Notamacropus eugenii: one gene and its partner. The protein of the gene in region 1 purifies or fractionates together with the protein of each later gene. This does not show direct contact. Links are inferred from orthologs where the notes say so. Each region holds a gene or a part of one and is shown on either strand. Other genes may lie near its edges.

Evidence for each region. Proteins that work in one complex are often made in the same cells at the same time.
Region 2: the proteins of WDR48 (region 1) and ATAD5 purify together in Homo sapiens (affinity purification with western blotting; 3 studies listed by BioGRID). This does not show direct contact. The link is inferred for Notamacropus eugenii from reciprocal best matches to the Homo sapiens genes WDR48 and ATAD5.

The regions. Positions count from the first base shown.
Region 1 is NC_092874.1:473,656,768-473,664,058, forward strand, and holds the start of WDR48 (WD repeat-containing protein 48), read left to right. Parts: upstream 1-4,279; 5' UTR 4,280-4,461; coding exon 4,462-4,509; intron 4,510-7,291. UniProt on the Homo sapiens protein: Regulator of deubiquitinating complexes, which acts as a strong activator of USP1, USP12 and USP46. Enhances the USP1-mediated deubiquitination of FANCD2; USP1 being almost inactive by itself.
Region 2 is NC_092873.1:311,746,724-311,754,270, reverse strand, and holds the start of ATAD5 (ATPase family AAA domain-containing protein 5), read left to right. Parts: upstream 1-4,530; 5' UTR 4,531-4,885; coding exon 4,886-4,954; intron 4,955-6,432; coding exon 6,433-7,547. UniProt on the Homo sapiens protein: Has an important role in DNA replication and in maintaining genome integrity during replication stress.

The DNA.
Region 1 (7,291 bases):
TGCAGATGAGAAAACTGAGGCAAACCGGGTTAAAGGTCACACAGCTGGTAATTGTCTAAGGTAAGATCACTTCCATTTGAATTGTTTTAGGAAGATTCTGAAGATCATTGGCAAGAGAAAGTACCAGACACCGAGCTCCTTTCTGAAGGACCAACTGAACTTCCAAGCATTCAAATTCTACAGCAGAGAGTACAACTCCAATGGACTGGCCATGCTGTTCAAATACCAAATACCAAAAATACTATTTTATGGAGTCCTCACACAAGGGAAGTGCTCTCATGGAGGTCAGAAGAAGAGATAAAAAGACACTCTGAAGGTCTCTCATGAGAGACACTGGGATAGGACCATCCAGTATGGTATGCCCTCATCAAAAAAGGTGCTATGTTCTACAAGCAAACCAGAATTGCAGTAGCTCAAAAAAAATGAGCTGAGCAAATCGACTCTAAATGTTCATATGGACCATTTGTGCCCAACCTGTGGTAAAGCCTTCTAAGCTCCTATTGGTCTGATCAGCTATGGGCAGACACACCGCACGTTGACCCTGACATAGTGATGTCATTTTGGTCTTCTGTGAAAACAAAGGACTACAACCAACCACTCATATTGTCAAAATACTTTCCAAGAGCTAAGGCCCAACAAGCAGGCTGTGCCCTGAACTTGGCAATAACAACAGTCCTTGGCACTCTGGATGTTCTCACCCTCTGGCAAAGTGAGTACCAGGTATTCACTCCCACTATTTCCCAGGGACCTGACGGCCAACATCCATCACGTCTCTGACATGCTCACAATCCCTGTTCCTTGTACTGTTCTCCTGTTCCTCTCACAGAATTCTTGTTTTTTACCCCAGAGTAATCATGTCCCTCAAGACGTGGAACAATACAAGTCCCATGGGAACGTAGTACCTCAAGACCTAAAAATGATTGTTATCGTCCAACCCAGTATGTATAGAAGCACTGCTTCTACCCCAACACATTTAAGCCCTTCTACTCAGGACTTCCACTAGAGAGTGTTTTCCTCACCCTGAAACTAATTAAGCCACTATTTGATTCCAGACACGCCTCTTCTGTTTAGGCTCCCAAGTTCCCAAGTTAGAGACTGGTCCAGTCTGGACTGCAGATATATAATATATATATATACACACAGATGTATATACTTCTCTTTACCCTTAGAATATAAGCTCCTTGAACATAGGAATTATTTCATTGTTATTGTACCCCAGTCCCTAGGACATAGGTGATTAGGAAGAAACCCCATTCTACATTGGGACATCTCTAATTATTAGGGGATTTCAATTATATTGAGCCAAAAGGTGCCTCCCAGGAACTGTTCCTGGTACTATTTTCCAGTCCAGAGCCAAGTAAAGTCAAGTCAGATCTCTCCTGCACATGGCAGTCCTTCAAATAACTGAAAATATTGAGCACATGCCCATTTGGCATTCTTCCCCCCACTACCCTGTGACTAGGCCAGAGTATGGCCAGAATCTCCCCCTTACTGCCACTGTGCTTCTTATAGGAAAAATAAAGAACCCATGAGTCTTTTGGGTGGCCCCATTACACCCTGAATACATTCAGAGCTCATGGTCTACTTCATTTTAACCATTGCCACCCCATTTCTCAGTCATCTGTTCTTTTCAAATTGATCTTTTACTACAAGCATCAAACTACATACATGCCCCTATTGAACTTTGTAGGGAGACTAACAAGGTTTTGGCAGGAAGGCAGCACGAAAGTTGGGAAATGCCTCAGAGTGGCAGGAATGTGGAAGGAGAGGCTGAGGACTTTAGTCACCCATCTTGGGCAGACACACTGCACCCATCCTTCAGTTTATTGGCATGTCAATATGTTGTGGGGGGGGGAGTGCATTATGGGAGCAAAGGGGAATCACTTTAATCCAGTTTCAACCAAGCTTCTATAGGGTTTGGATGGATGGAGTTCTAGAAATGGCTTTTAGGGATTCCTGTGCCATACAGGAATCTTGGGACAGGAACCTCAAGTATACCACAAGAGAAAAACAATCAAGAGAACAGATCTCATCTTAGAATGTCATATCTGTCAGCTTCTGCTTGCTGCTTGGCGGGACATGAAGGTTTGAAGCTATATACTAAGCCCAGCAGGCAGATAGAGCAGTGGAGACATCCCATTGGGCAGAGATTACAGGAAGAAGTCTGGAGTCCTGATACCCAGCAGAGATGACAGGCACCCAACAGATCAGTGTGACTGCTTCAAAGCGGTTCATGTTCTCTCTTGCTCCTCTCTGCTGGGTAATGGGTCATCTCAGTTAGGCATGGAGTCACCTTGGCTGGGAATCGTGTCTCAGCTCTCCATGGAGTATGCCCACTGGTCTCATCAATGCCAAATTTCTCTTTCCTGCCATCCTCTGGGCTCTGGTGGTCAGTAGGCCTCTCCCTTGTCAAAATAAATGGATGCGACTTTCCAGAAGTCAATCTTACTATTGAGGGAGCAGGTGAAGATCAAGCTATGCTGTGAAGAATACATGGTATCACACATGCGTGACTGTGACTTCCATCTATAGGAGATGGCAGACCAAAAGATGAAAAGCTAACGGTGTGTACTAGGCTAGTAAAAAAAAAAAAGCATCACGTTGAGAGCCAAGAAGGACACGGCTCCATCGGCTGGATCGCTCCTACATCCTTCCTTACATCCTGTAAATGTAACCCCTGGGAGTCGGAAAGGAGCACACAGATGTAAGGAGAAACTCTCTGCCCTGGAAGATTCCCAGCAGCGGCTGGGTGAGGGGGTCGCCCTTACTAGCAAGTGCAATGAGTCAAGGGCCTTCAAGGGCCCTTCACCATTAGATATTCAACGATTTTGCTCCAATCACAATTCCCAGTGAAGCCATTTGTTTCATAGATAAAAAGGTTCCTTGACAAATAGATGGTCACTCACAAAAGGAAGACAGTGTAAAATGACGGCAACTATCCAGGGCTGGGAAATGGCTCAGCCCCGTGGTAGTGACCTCGGGGTGTGCCAGGCACACACACCCCTCCGGTTAACGTTCTTCAAGGCTACAGTCCTTAAGTCATTTCAGTCATGTCCAATTCCTCATGACCCCATCTGGGGTTTTCTTGGCAAAGAAACTAAAGGGGTTTGCTGTTTTCTTCTCCCACACATTTTACAGATGAGGAAACTGAGGCAGTGTTAAGGGACTTGCCCAGGGTTACACAGCTACTGCATGTCTGGTTCGTCTTGATGCCAAGCCCAGAATTCTACCTTCTAGGGTAAGGGGATGCAACATGCTCAGAGTGAATCAGAAGATGTCCAAAGTAAAGCCAGTGATTTGGGCAGTGCCCCTCGGGGGCAGCCAGTGTCCCTTCCTGGCACATGGCATCGCGTCCCTTCACCTTCAGAGAGATTGGGGCAAACCAGTAAAAGAGGCCCAGAGCCCGCAGGGAGGGTGACCCCACCAGCCTGGTGCCCTGCGCAGGGCGGCAGGTGAGTGGTGGCACCACATCAGCGGTACCACCGGGGAGCTGGACCCCGAGGCCCCTAAGTCCTGCTCTCCAGGAAGACATCATTTATAGGCCTGAGCTGACCTTTAGAAACACAGTGGGGGGTTGGGGGGGGTCCCTGCCCTCACGGGCTTACCTCCTAGCATGCTGGCTTACAAGCCTTTCCCAACTCCAGACGGCCCGAGGGCGGGCCCACACTCCAATGAGGTCCATGAAGGGGGTAGCTTAGTTTCCCGGGCCCCTCGCTTGCCTCTCTCCGGGCCCTTCACCACTCCCTCCGTCCCTTTGTGACGCGCAGGCACGCACTGCCCGGGTGTCAGGCTGCGGCCCGAGGCTTCACAAAGGGCAGAGGCCAGGCCCTCGAGGTGCCCGAGTGACCGCAGCTGGCCTTCCCGGGCGATCCCTCTTCGGCCCTTCCCCCTCTCCTTCCTCTCCCCGCCCCGCCCCTCCCCCCGCCCGGCTCTCCCCAGCTCCCTAGGAAGCCCCGCCCCCGCCCCGCCCCCCTCCCTTCCTCTGCGGAGGCCCCGGCCCCTCCACCGCCCCGCTGAGCTCCCCACGCCCCCCCAGGACGGTCGCGCGTTCTCCCACGCCCCCGCACTGCCGCGCCCCCTCTCACCCTCTTCCTGACACCTGGACCCCCGCCCCTTCGGGCCCCCTCCGGGACCGCCCGCCCCCTTCCCCCTTGCTGCCTCCCCCCGCCCCGCTGCCCTTTGGCCCGGCGCTGCCCCCGCCCACCCCGCTCCGCCTCGTTGTCGGCCGCGCCCTGGCCCCGCCCCCGGCCGCCCCGCCGCCGCAGGGCCCCGCCCCCGCGGTTCCTCCCCCCGCTCTGGACCCGCCCCCAGGCCGCGGCTCGTGAGGACCCTTTGGCCCGCTCGCGCCCTCTGCCGGCAACTGCCCTCGAGAGGGAGCCTGGTGCCGCGGGGCCGCCCAGGAAAGGAGGCGGGACATCCTCCCTCCTTTCCGGAAGTGACGCGGGAGTGTCAACATGCAAGATGGCGGCGCATCACCGACAGAATACGGCGGGGCGGCGGAAAGTGCAGGTGAGGGGCGCCGGGGACGGAGCGCAAGACCCTCCGGGGACCGCCCCCCAGCCCGGGCGCCTCCCGAGCCCCGCGGGCCGGGCCCCGCCGACTCAGCGCCGAGGTCGCCGCGGGCGGAAGGTGGGGGGAGGCGGGAGCGGAATGAGGCCGGCCTGGGCCCCGCTGTCCTGGCGCGCCCGCCGGGGTTGTGGGGAGGGGGCCGGGGGCCGCTACCTCGAGTTCCCGGCCCATACGTCCGCCGGCCCGTGGGGCTGCGGAGCCGCGACCGTCCGTGACCGTGAGCGGGGCCCGCGCCCGCAGCCCCAGACCCGGGGGCGTCCCCGGAGGTCCCCGACCCCGGCTGCCCCCCACCCCGGCAGAGCCGGTCACCTCCGCCCCCGGACCGGCCGGCCGGCCACCCGCGGGGGCCGCTCGGGCCAACGGCCCCGCCCCGTGGGGACAACGGTCACGCCCCGAGCGCCCCGGGCCGGGGGAGGCCGAGGGCCGGTGACCCCCGGGGGCGGAGGCCGCGTGGCCCGGCGCGGATCACCCGGAGGTGGGGCCCCGCGGGGCGCACTGTGCCCTCGGCTAGGTCTGGTCCGGCCCCTTGTGGGGTCCGTAGGCCGGTGCCCCCCACACACACGCCGCCCACGTGTGGCCCTCGGACCAGGCGCAGCCGCCTCGCTTCTCCCGGAAAGTCGTTCCGAGGTGTCACCTCGCAGGGGGCGCCGGGGCCCCGACCCGTCCGAGCGGGGTGCGCCCCCGTAAGACTTGGAGAGGCCCGAGCCTCGGCCCCAGGGGGTCCTCGCGTCTGCCCGTCTGCCCGCTCCGGGAGCGCCGGGCCCAGGGTCCCCGCTGCCCGGCCATCGCCGCCTTCCCCTCCGGAGCCTGTGCGGGCTTGGGGAGGGCCCCGCCGGCCGGCCTCTGCCGTCTGCGGAGGGCTCCGGAGCGCGCTGGGAGTGGGGGGGCCTGTACCTCCTGTCTCCAGGTGGGGGGAAGTGACCGGAGCACAGACCCAAACCTGAAGCGCCTCGTCCTCTGGGAGCTCACCCCGAGTCTGTGCAGAGATGCAGAGATGGGGCGGGGTCACCTGGGCCGGGGGAGTCCAGCCCAAATAGAGGTAACCCCCACGGAACTGTAGAAGGGGGGGCTGCAGATGGGCGTCATTTTAAAATACATTATCCGTGTTTCGTGGCGGTTTTGTTCATGTTGCTCGCTATTTCCCAATCACATTTTAATCTGGTTTGAGGCCGCCCTCAGGTGTGTCCTTTGGGCCAGAGTTTGACATCTCTGATGCAGAAGGCAGGTCCCGAGCCAAGGTTTAAAGGAATCCTCCCAGATAAGGGGGAGGGGGTGGGAAGAGACAGGAGACTGTGCTGTGGGAGCCACAGCCAGAAGGTGTCTTGGCCAGATGGCCAAGAGGACGGTCCAGAACAGTCTTGGGACCCAGCCAGGAGGGAGGACTACTACAGCTCATTCAGGTGGCCCAGAGAGCGGGCCTCTAAGCCAGGCAGTGCTCCAGGCCCTCGGACCGTGGGTCAGAGAAGGTGCTGACTTAGAAGAAATTCCCATCTTGGAGTTCGCTGTACCATTGAAATAGCTGGGTGTGTGTGATCAGGAAGCAGTAGATCCCACTGAGTATTGTCTAGGGCCTTAGCAGCCAGGCCTGGAGTTGCCTAAGGGAACCTCCACAAATCACGTTTAGTTGATCGTGTTAAATGAATGAATGAATGCATGCATGAGCATTTATTAAATACTTACTAGGTGCTAACATCTGCTATAAGTTCTGGGGATAGTCTTAGAAAAAAACCAAGTCTCACCTCACAGAATTGGCATTGGCAAGTCCCCACATGAGGGAGTGATGTCCAGGGAGACCCTTTAGTCTAGAATGTTACAGGGTTGTGCAATAAATGGACCCATTCCATCCCAAAATAATGACGGAGTCACTTTGTTCATGGTTCTAGAGCTGTTGGAGAGAGGAAAGGGGAAGGGTTTGCAGTTTTGAAGACTCTTGCCTGTTGGTGGGCAGCAGTTCACACTGAAACCTGTGGTTATCTCGATAAGAACGCTAGTCCATAAGAGACCACTTACTGTGCTGTTCCCCCAGGAGGCCCCACCTCCGAAAGCATCATTCTTTTAAAGGGAAAAGCTGTGTTATCTGTATCATCTGAAAAGTACCAGATGATGATGGGCCTCACTCCCTCATCTCTAAAGAGTGAACGCTCCCTGAGTGTTCACTGGCACTGGCTCCTGCTCTGCCAGCGTGTGTGCTTCCAGTGGTGAGTGCATCAGAGCAGTGAGAGCTTGATAAGTTACAGAGATCCCTTGTTTACATCTGAAACACAGAACTGAAATTTCTTAGTAATGACAAAGTTATGAAAATGGCCTTGGTTTGAATTGTAAAGAATTCTGTCACTCAGGCATCACTTTTTCTTTGTTTTATATTTTAACATCATGGGATAAACTTAAAATTTATTGGATCTTGAGAAGCCATCTAATCTAAATTCCTATCCAATCCAGGAAATACACGTAGCACTTTAAGGTTTCCTCACACCATTGCTTTATTTGGGCCTCAAAACAGCCCCATCAGGTAAACACTAACAGGTATCATCATTATTGTTATTGGATTGGGGGGCAGGATTTGAGGCAGTCAGGGTTGGGTGACTTGCCCAGGGTCACACAGCTAGTAGGTGTTTGAGGTGGGATTTGAACTGAGGTCCTCCTGACTCCGGGGCTAGTACTCTATCCACTGTGCCACCCCACTGCCGCCCTCACAACAACCTTTAGGGGTAGATCATGTAAG
Region 2 (7,547 bases), on another chromosome or scaffold:
TCAGCATTTGGGTGTGTTAAAGTTGATGAACTCCCTGGTGACGAAGTGATGAAAGGACTTGGAATTTTGGTTTGACATGGCAAACCCAGAAGGATTTCTTAGTTTTCCCTCTGCCTATTACAGTAGAAGTGAGATAGACAGTGCTTCATGAGTTAAAAGAAGATAAAGCTTCTAGCGCAGTCCTCTGCTTTAATTATGCCATGCAACAAATATAGTGCTATATATCCCCAAAGCAGGTTGGAGCGATAGGCTGTCCTCTGTTACCCCACCTCCTGACCATTTTCATGTAGAACATGGTCTCAGCTAGGCCAGCTTCTATCTGGGCCCTAGATGCCTTTTCTTTTTTCTTTTTTGGAAGTAGTGGGGTTAAGTGACTTTCCCAGGGTCAGACTGTTACTGAGTGTCTTCCTGATTGCCTTTTCTATTTTGTGTTTACTTTCCTGTGTAATACATAATTTTCAAGGTTTGGAGAAGACCTTATAAGTTTAAGACACCCAGAGGTCTTGGGTCCAATAAGTGGAGTTGACTCCACTCAGCAACAAGAAAGGTTTCTGAAAAGTTTCAGAAAAGTCAGTCATTGACAAGAAAAACCCCAGTCCCAGCACCAGCTTACCTAAAGAAACTGACTTTGAAGGAAACAATGCAGAACCAAGGTGAAATATAAAATGTCTATAAACAGTGGTTCTGCAAAGTTCACACTTAGTTTTAATGAGTCTAAGTCTCTTAGTCAAGAACAGTAGTTATCACTGACTGGTTTAGTTTATTTTATGTAATTTTTATTTTAGTTTATCTTTTGTCAGCTAGCAAACATTAATTTTCTCTTCTGCCCATTTTCCTCCTTGCTGATGAAAAAGAAAAACAAAACTCTTGTAATACATATGCATAGTAAAGCAAAAACACATTGGTCATATCCAAAATGTATGTCTCATTCTGTACCATGAATCTATCACCCCTCTGTCAGGAGTTGGGTACATGCTTCATCATCAAACCTATGAAACTGTGGTTGATCATTGGATTGATCAGAGTTCTTAAGTCTTTACTTCAGTTCAAGCATGATTTGCTCACACCTCTTATTTTAACTCCGTGTGAACCTGTTTCAAATATGTTTCTCTTGTAAACAACATATTGTTGGATTCTGCTTTCTAATCCATTTTGCTATTCTCTTCTGTTTTATGAGTGATTTCATCCCATTTCCATTGACAGTTGGGATCATTAATTGCATATTTCCTTTCATCCTATCCTTTTATATCTTTCCATGTTTCCCCCACACACATACACACCACACCCCTAATAAGGAGGTAGTGAGAGAGGAGGAATGTGCTCAGCACCAGTGGCCTAGGTTTGGTATAGTCTGCTTCTGCTCTCCTGCCCCTCTTCTCTTTCCTTCACACAGAGCCCTCTCACAGGTTCTCTTTCTTTTTTTTTCTTTTCAACTTCATAATCTGTTCTACCTATCTTAGTGTTTGGTTTGGTTAGGGTTAATCCCTCCCTTAAATACTCTTTATTATCCTTTCTCTCTTTTCCCTTTCCTTCCTGTTACCCTGTTGAGTGAAATGTATTTCTGTGCCCAATCGTGTTTGCATGTTCTTCCCTCTTTTAACCAGTTCAGATAAGAGTATGGGTCAAGTGTTACCTACTTCCTCCAACCTCTTCCTCCTTATTTGTATAGTTTTCTATTCCAGCATCCTGAATACATAATTTTCCTTCTCCTTTCTCTCTCTTTCTCCCCATTCCTCTCCCTCCCCAGTATATTCCTTTTCCCTGTCCTTTCTTCTTCTAAGACTATCAAAACATGACAAAACCTCTTCCAGGCCATCTGGCTTCTTAGACTCCATGGCTCTTGATGAGTTCTGATGGGACACATATATCATCCCCTTATATTAAAATGTAAACAGTTCATCTTTGTTTAGTCCATTATGATTGTTTACTCATATTTCTCTTGACTTCTGTATTTGTATTTTTCCTATACAACTTGATTTTTTTTCCCTCAAGAATGCTTAGAACTCCCCTATTTCATTAAAGATCTATTTTTATCCCTCTAGCATTATGTTTCAGTGGGTAAATTATTCTGTTTGTAAGCCTATATCTTTCCCTTTTTGGAACATCAAATTCCAAGCTCTCCACTCTCCTATAGTGGTAGCTATTAAATTATCTACAACCCTGACTATAGATCCTCAATACCTGAATTCTTTCTTTCTTGTTGCTTGCAGTATTTTTTTATTTTAACCTGAAAATTCTAGACTTTGGATATGGTGTTCCTGGGAATTTTCATTTTTGGTGTTTCCTTTACATAAGGGGACCAGAGGGTTCCATTTTCACTTTGTTCTCTTGATCTAAGAAATCTGGGCAGTTGTCTTTTATGATTTCTTGAAATTTGATCTCTAGACTCTTTTTTGGGTCATGGCTTTCAGGTTTCAATGATTCTCAAATTATCTCATCAATCTGTTTTCCAGGTAAGTTGTTCTGGCTATGAAATGTCTTACATTTTCTCATATTTTTTTAATCTTTTGACTTTGTTTTGATATTTCTTGTTGGTTCAGGGAGTTGTTAACTTCTACTTGGTTCATTCTAATTTTGGGGGAGTTTGTTGCTTGAGTAAGCTTGCGTGTAGCTGTTCATTCCCCTTCTAATTCTTTCTTGTTCTTTTTTTCCATCCCCCCACATTCTCATTTTATTCATGAAAACATCTTTAAAAATATTTTAAAAACATGTTTTAAAAAAAACTATTTGCTTCATATTCCCCATGAATTATAGTTGAACTTGTGCCTAAGCTATGTTTTTCTTTTGTTTTCTCGTAGATGTTCTGGAGTCATTATCTTCTTTTGGGTTTGTGTCCTAAGCATCCTGGTCACCATGACATCTTTTTATGGGAAGATTCTTTTTTTTGTTTGTTTCATCAGCCTTTCAGCCTACTTCTTTACTTCAGACTTTGTTAGGGCAAAGCTCTCATAATTCTGGAAAGAATGTCTGGGTTTAGTCTCTTGGGTCCTGCTACTGCTTTCTTGGAGTGTTGACTATTGAGTAATTGTAGGATCTCAGGGAGCTGCTCAGGCTGGGGACCTGAACACTTTGAGTGGTGCCAAAATCAGGGCAAAGTCTGATCACTGTCGCCTAGTCTGAGCTTGGCAAGTTCCTGGCCTGTGTTTAGATTTGTTCTCGTGTATTTCCTAGATTTTTGTGGAGGAACTATGTTAGGCAGCTCATTGTACGTCCTGATGTGGTTCCTTTTTCTTTCTGTTTTCATCATGGGAAATGAAGGCAGGGTTAGTGCTATTATAACCAAAATAAGATCTTTTTTTAAAATGAGGAGATGAAAATATAAAGAAGTGTACTTCAGATGGAAGTACAAGCAGGGTAGTTTTGAAAATAACTTGTGGAATTGATCATATATCTAAAGAAAAGCAAGCTTAGGAAATGGAGAGTTGCAGTTCCATGGAGAATCCTTTTCTTTTTTATTGGTCTACTGCTGCATATATGGAAATGCCCTTTTTTCTTATTTACATTCAGAATTAAATTTTTTAAAAAATAATAATTTGACTACTATCGGCCACCTAGTTTCATTGGAGGGTTTTCAGTGGGCACGAGATGACTTTCCCAAATGCCTCAGAGATCAAGCTCTTCCATCAGGCTCCCAATTCTTTCAGTCCGAGCTCACACAGCTCTTGATGGGGGGGCCCTGCGCCCAACTCAATACTGATCTCAGGGTGTCGAAAAAGAGAATGAAATCTCTCTCTGAAATATTAACACGATAGAAATCTGCTTTTCCTTCCTTCCGACCGATCGCTTCTCGTAGATGGCCCGCAGACAATCCACTAGGAGGGCACGTAACAAAGACAATGAACAAAACTTCTGCCTCTCTCGGACCTTCCTAACCACCTGAGGGCATGGGAGGAGGGCTGGGTATCGGGCTGCGGGCCACCGACTCCTCTCCGGGATTTCGAGACCTTAAGGCCTTATGCCTTTGCAAGTCCAGCGGGGGAATGCCGGGAGGGGCTTGGGGAGCCTCCCCGCAGCGGCCTGCGCTGTCCCTGCACATCTGTGCTAATTAAAGAGAGCACCCCAAACAGCTTGGGAAGGGCTTTAAATGCCGCGCAGAGGGCTCTGCCATTGACCCGGGGGGATGGGGAGACGCAGGAGCTCCTGAGGAGAGCTGCCCTGCAGGGCTCCGGGCGGCGGCTTCCGTCCTGCCGGGCTGGGGGGCGCGGCGGGTAGAGGGTTGACCCGTCTGGGTCTCCGGGCGGACGCCCCGCAGAGAGCCCGTGGCCAGCCGGCGGGCTTCCTTCCGGAGGGTCCCGGGCAAGGTCCCTTCACTCCTCGGGGCTCAGTTTCCTCCTCCGTAAACGAGGGGATCTGACCGGATGGCTCCGGACTCCCTTCGCTCTCTCAGCCCTTCAGCGGGTGCCCGACCTTCGGACCCCAGAGCGAGGCGGAGTGACTGCGAGGGTCGCCTCCGTTCACGGCGCCGGTTTCTGGCCCTCGCGGGCCGCCATCCACTCCCCGTCCCGGACGTTGCGTAATTGCCCCGCCCCCGCTTCCGGCGCTCCCGGACGGCGCGAAAACCCAATTGACAAGAATCTCTGTCCGCGGAGCTCGGGCCTCCCCAGCCGCCTGCACCCTCCCCCCGCCCTCCCACAGTTCGGACCCCAGTGCAGCCCAGGCGCCCAGACCCTCGAGGGTCGCCCGCTGGCGGGGGGAGGGGGAGACGCCTGCGCACGGCTTCTGGCTTGGGGGTCCCGCGTCCGCGCGCTTTCTGCTGGGGTCTCTTCCCGCGTCCCGCGCTCCCCAGAGCCGGGTCCCGAACGTCATGGTACCCGCGCGCGCCGGCTCCGGATCCGGCGCCGTCCGCTCCTGAGGGCCTGGCAGCCCGGGAGCCGAGCCGGGGACCATGGTCGGGGTGCTGGCCATGGCTGCGGCGGCTCCGGCCCGAGCGCCCGGAAAGGACTTGGACATCCAGGTGAGCCTTGCCCCCTGCCCCAGGCGGGGAGCTCCCCCCCTCCCGGGGCAGCTAGCCCCGGAGCTCTTGGACTGCCCTGGGGGTGGGGCGGGCGCGGAGTACAGTCGAGTCTGGGGGAGGGGGCTGTACCCTTCCTTCCCCCATTGCACTTACAGCAGGTACTTAACAGATGCTCTCTGGGGTCTCAAAGGCCCGTCTGAGGAGGGAACCCCGAGGCCCCGGGTCCGGAGCCGATCTCGATGGTGATGTCCACCACGCGTGGCTCGTGCTTTCTGTGCCTCAGTTTCCTCGCCCATACAATGAGAGCTCCCTTCCACCCCGCAGCTGGGACCCTTCACTCGGTCTGGAGTCTGGATCCCCACCCATCCCCGGTAGCCCCCAGCCCGTCTCTCTGGGGGGCCTTTAATCACGTGGTCTGCCTCCCCCCACCCCACGTTCACCCCTAGACCCTTCCCTCTTAGCCGAGAAGAGGGGCTTCGGCCCCCCAGGGAAGGCTGCGCAGGGCGGTGATCGGGAAAATGACCGAAGCTGCCTTTGCCAGTTTCCCCTTCTTCCACAAATGACAGCTTTGCCAGGAGAACGTCGGCCCGGCGACCAGGGGGTCACCCAGCCAGGTCGTGACGGAAAGCAGTGGCCGAATTTTGTTCTTAGTGAAACATCTCTAGGGAGTTTTGAATTCTGACGGCAACTGAGAGAGAAGCATTTCTTTCCTTCTGTGACTGGAGCAGTCTTTCCGTTTGATCTGTCACACCTGTACGTTTAGTTACATGTAAAATACTTGGCAAGTAATGGTTTTCCTTCTGGTCAACATATGTGAGTTTCCAGACATCAACTTTACTTAGAGATAATTAGAATCAAGCTCAGTGGTTCTCCCCAACTCCCCGTCTTTTGGACTCCCAGCTAGTATTTACACCTTGGAAGAGATGAGACTGGTGAAAAGCAATTTTGGTTTAGAGTTTTGCTTCTTATTAAAAACTCTTTAGGTAAATACTTGAAACAGAACTGTAAAGATTCTCCATGAAACATAAAACAGAAAGTGAGGCACCAATACTGTGGTGTCTGATTTCTGTTAAATATAAGCAGATTACTAATGTATACTAGGCACAAAAAGGATACACGTTACTTCAGAAACCTCCTTTAACACTACTGTGTTGGAAGAAGGTTGGCTACTAGTTCAAAAGACAACAACTTTCAAGACAAATTGGGGCAAATGACTTCCCCTAAAACAGTCCATAAGTCATATAAGTTGCTGTGTTCTAGGTATTTCTAATGTTTTCTTATTTTTCAGATGTAGTTTCCTTATTTGATATACATAAATTAGTAATTTCTATTCTAAAAATATTTTTACTCATTCATTTGTTTATTTAGATAAAAATATTAATTTCTTCTTACTGTTATTATAAGTAGAACTTATATTCTTTTTTTTACATTTTATTTTCCCCTAGTTACATGGTTTTTTTTCTTTTTTAAATTTAAAGCCATGCAAGAAGCAAAGGAAAGAAGATGATGGAGCTTCCTGTAAAACCATTACTGAATATATGTCACCTATAAGGAAAACTGGAGACAAAGTTTTCTCCCCACCAAAATCTAATAACATCTTGGATTATTTTAAAAGGACTTCACCCATAAATGAAAAGTCTTCTATAGCTAAGAAATGCAAGATACAGTCATCTAAACCATTGCATTTTGATGATAGCAAAGAAGGGAAAACACTTTTGAACAATTCCTCCAATTTAGAGCCTAAGTCAAGGGGAAAGAGAATTAATTTATCTCAACAACTTAATGATATTAAAAAATTGGAAAATGAACCCATAATTATTAGTAGTGATGACAGCAGAGAAGAAACAAGCTTAAATAATGTTTTTGTGGGTAGTGACAGTGATACTTCTGGTTTACTTACTCGGAAAAATGTAGAGCCCTTCTCAGAAAGTAGTCAGAGTAACAATAAGCAATCAAGCACAACGTCCTCCCAAAAAGACAGAAAGAAAGTAAACGCTGAACAAAGCATCACAAAAAATGACTGCAAAAAATTAAGGAAAAGGAAGCACAAAGATGATAAAGACCTAACTAGAAATTTATCATTAGAAAAAGAATCCAGCCAACAATCCAAAAAGGAACCCAAGGACAATAAGCAAAAAACAGAACTCAAAACTGGTGAAATTGTGGATTTTGCAAGTGATTCCAGCCCTGGAGTTCATGTGTCTGACACAGCCCAGGTAAATGATAATACGGTAACTGTATCCTATGAAGAATTTTTAAGAAGTCAGGAAGTAAACCCATTGGAGCACATACAAGGACCAAAAATGTCCGATACTCCTGATGATGTTGGTAAAAGTGGGAACACTAGTGAGCCTGAAGGCAGTGAAAGTTCCCAGCAGCTGCCCCTTAAAAAAGTGACTGTTCTTGCACAAATTCATGCTGTGCCACCCAAGCCTATTTCAAGGATTAAAGGGAAAAGGACTCTCAAAATACCATCAATTTTCTTGAAACAAAAGGAAAATGAAATTGGGAATAAACTTCCTGAGCCTGAAAATGAACAGACAGTTCAGAAAAGAAAATCCAATGTAGTTATAGCAGAGGAAGAATTAGAATT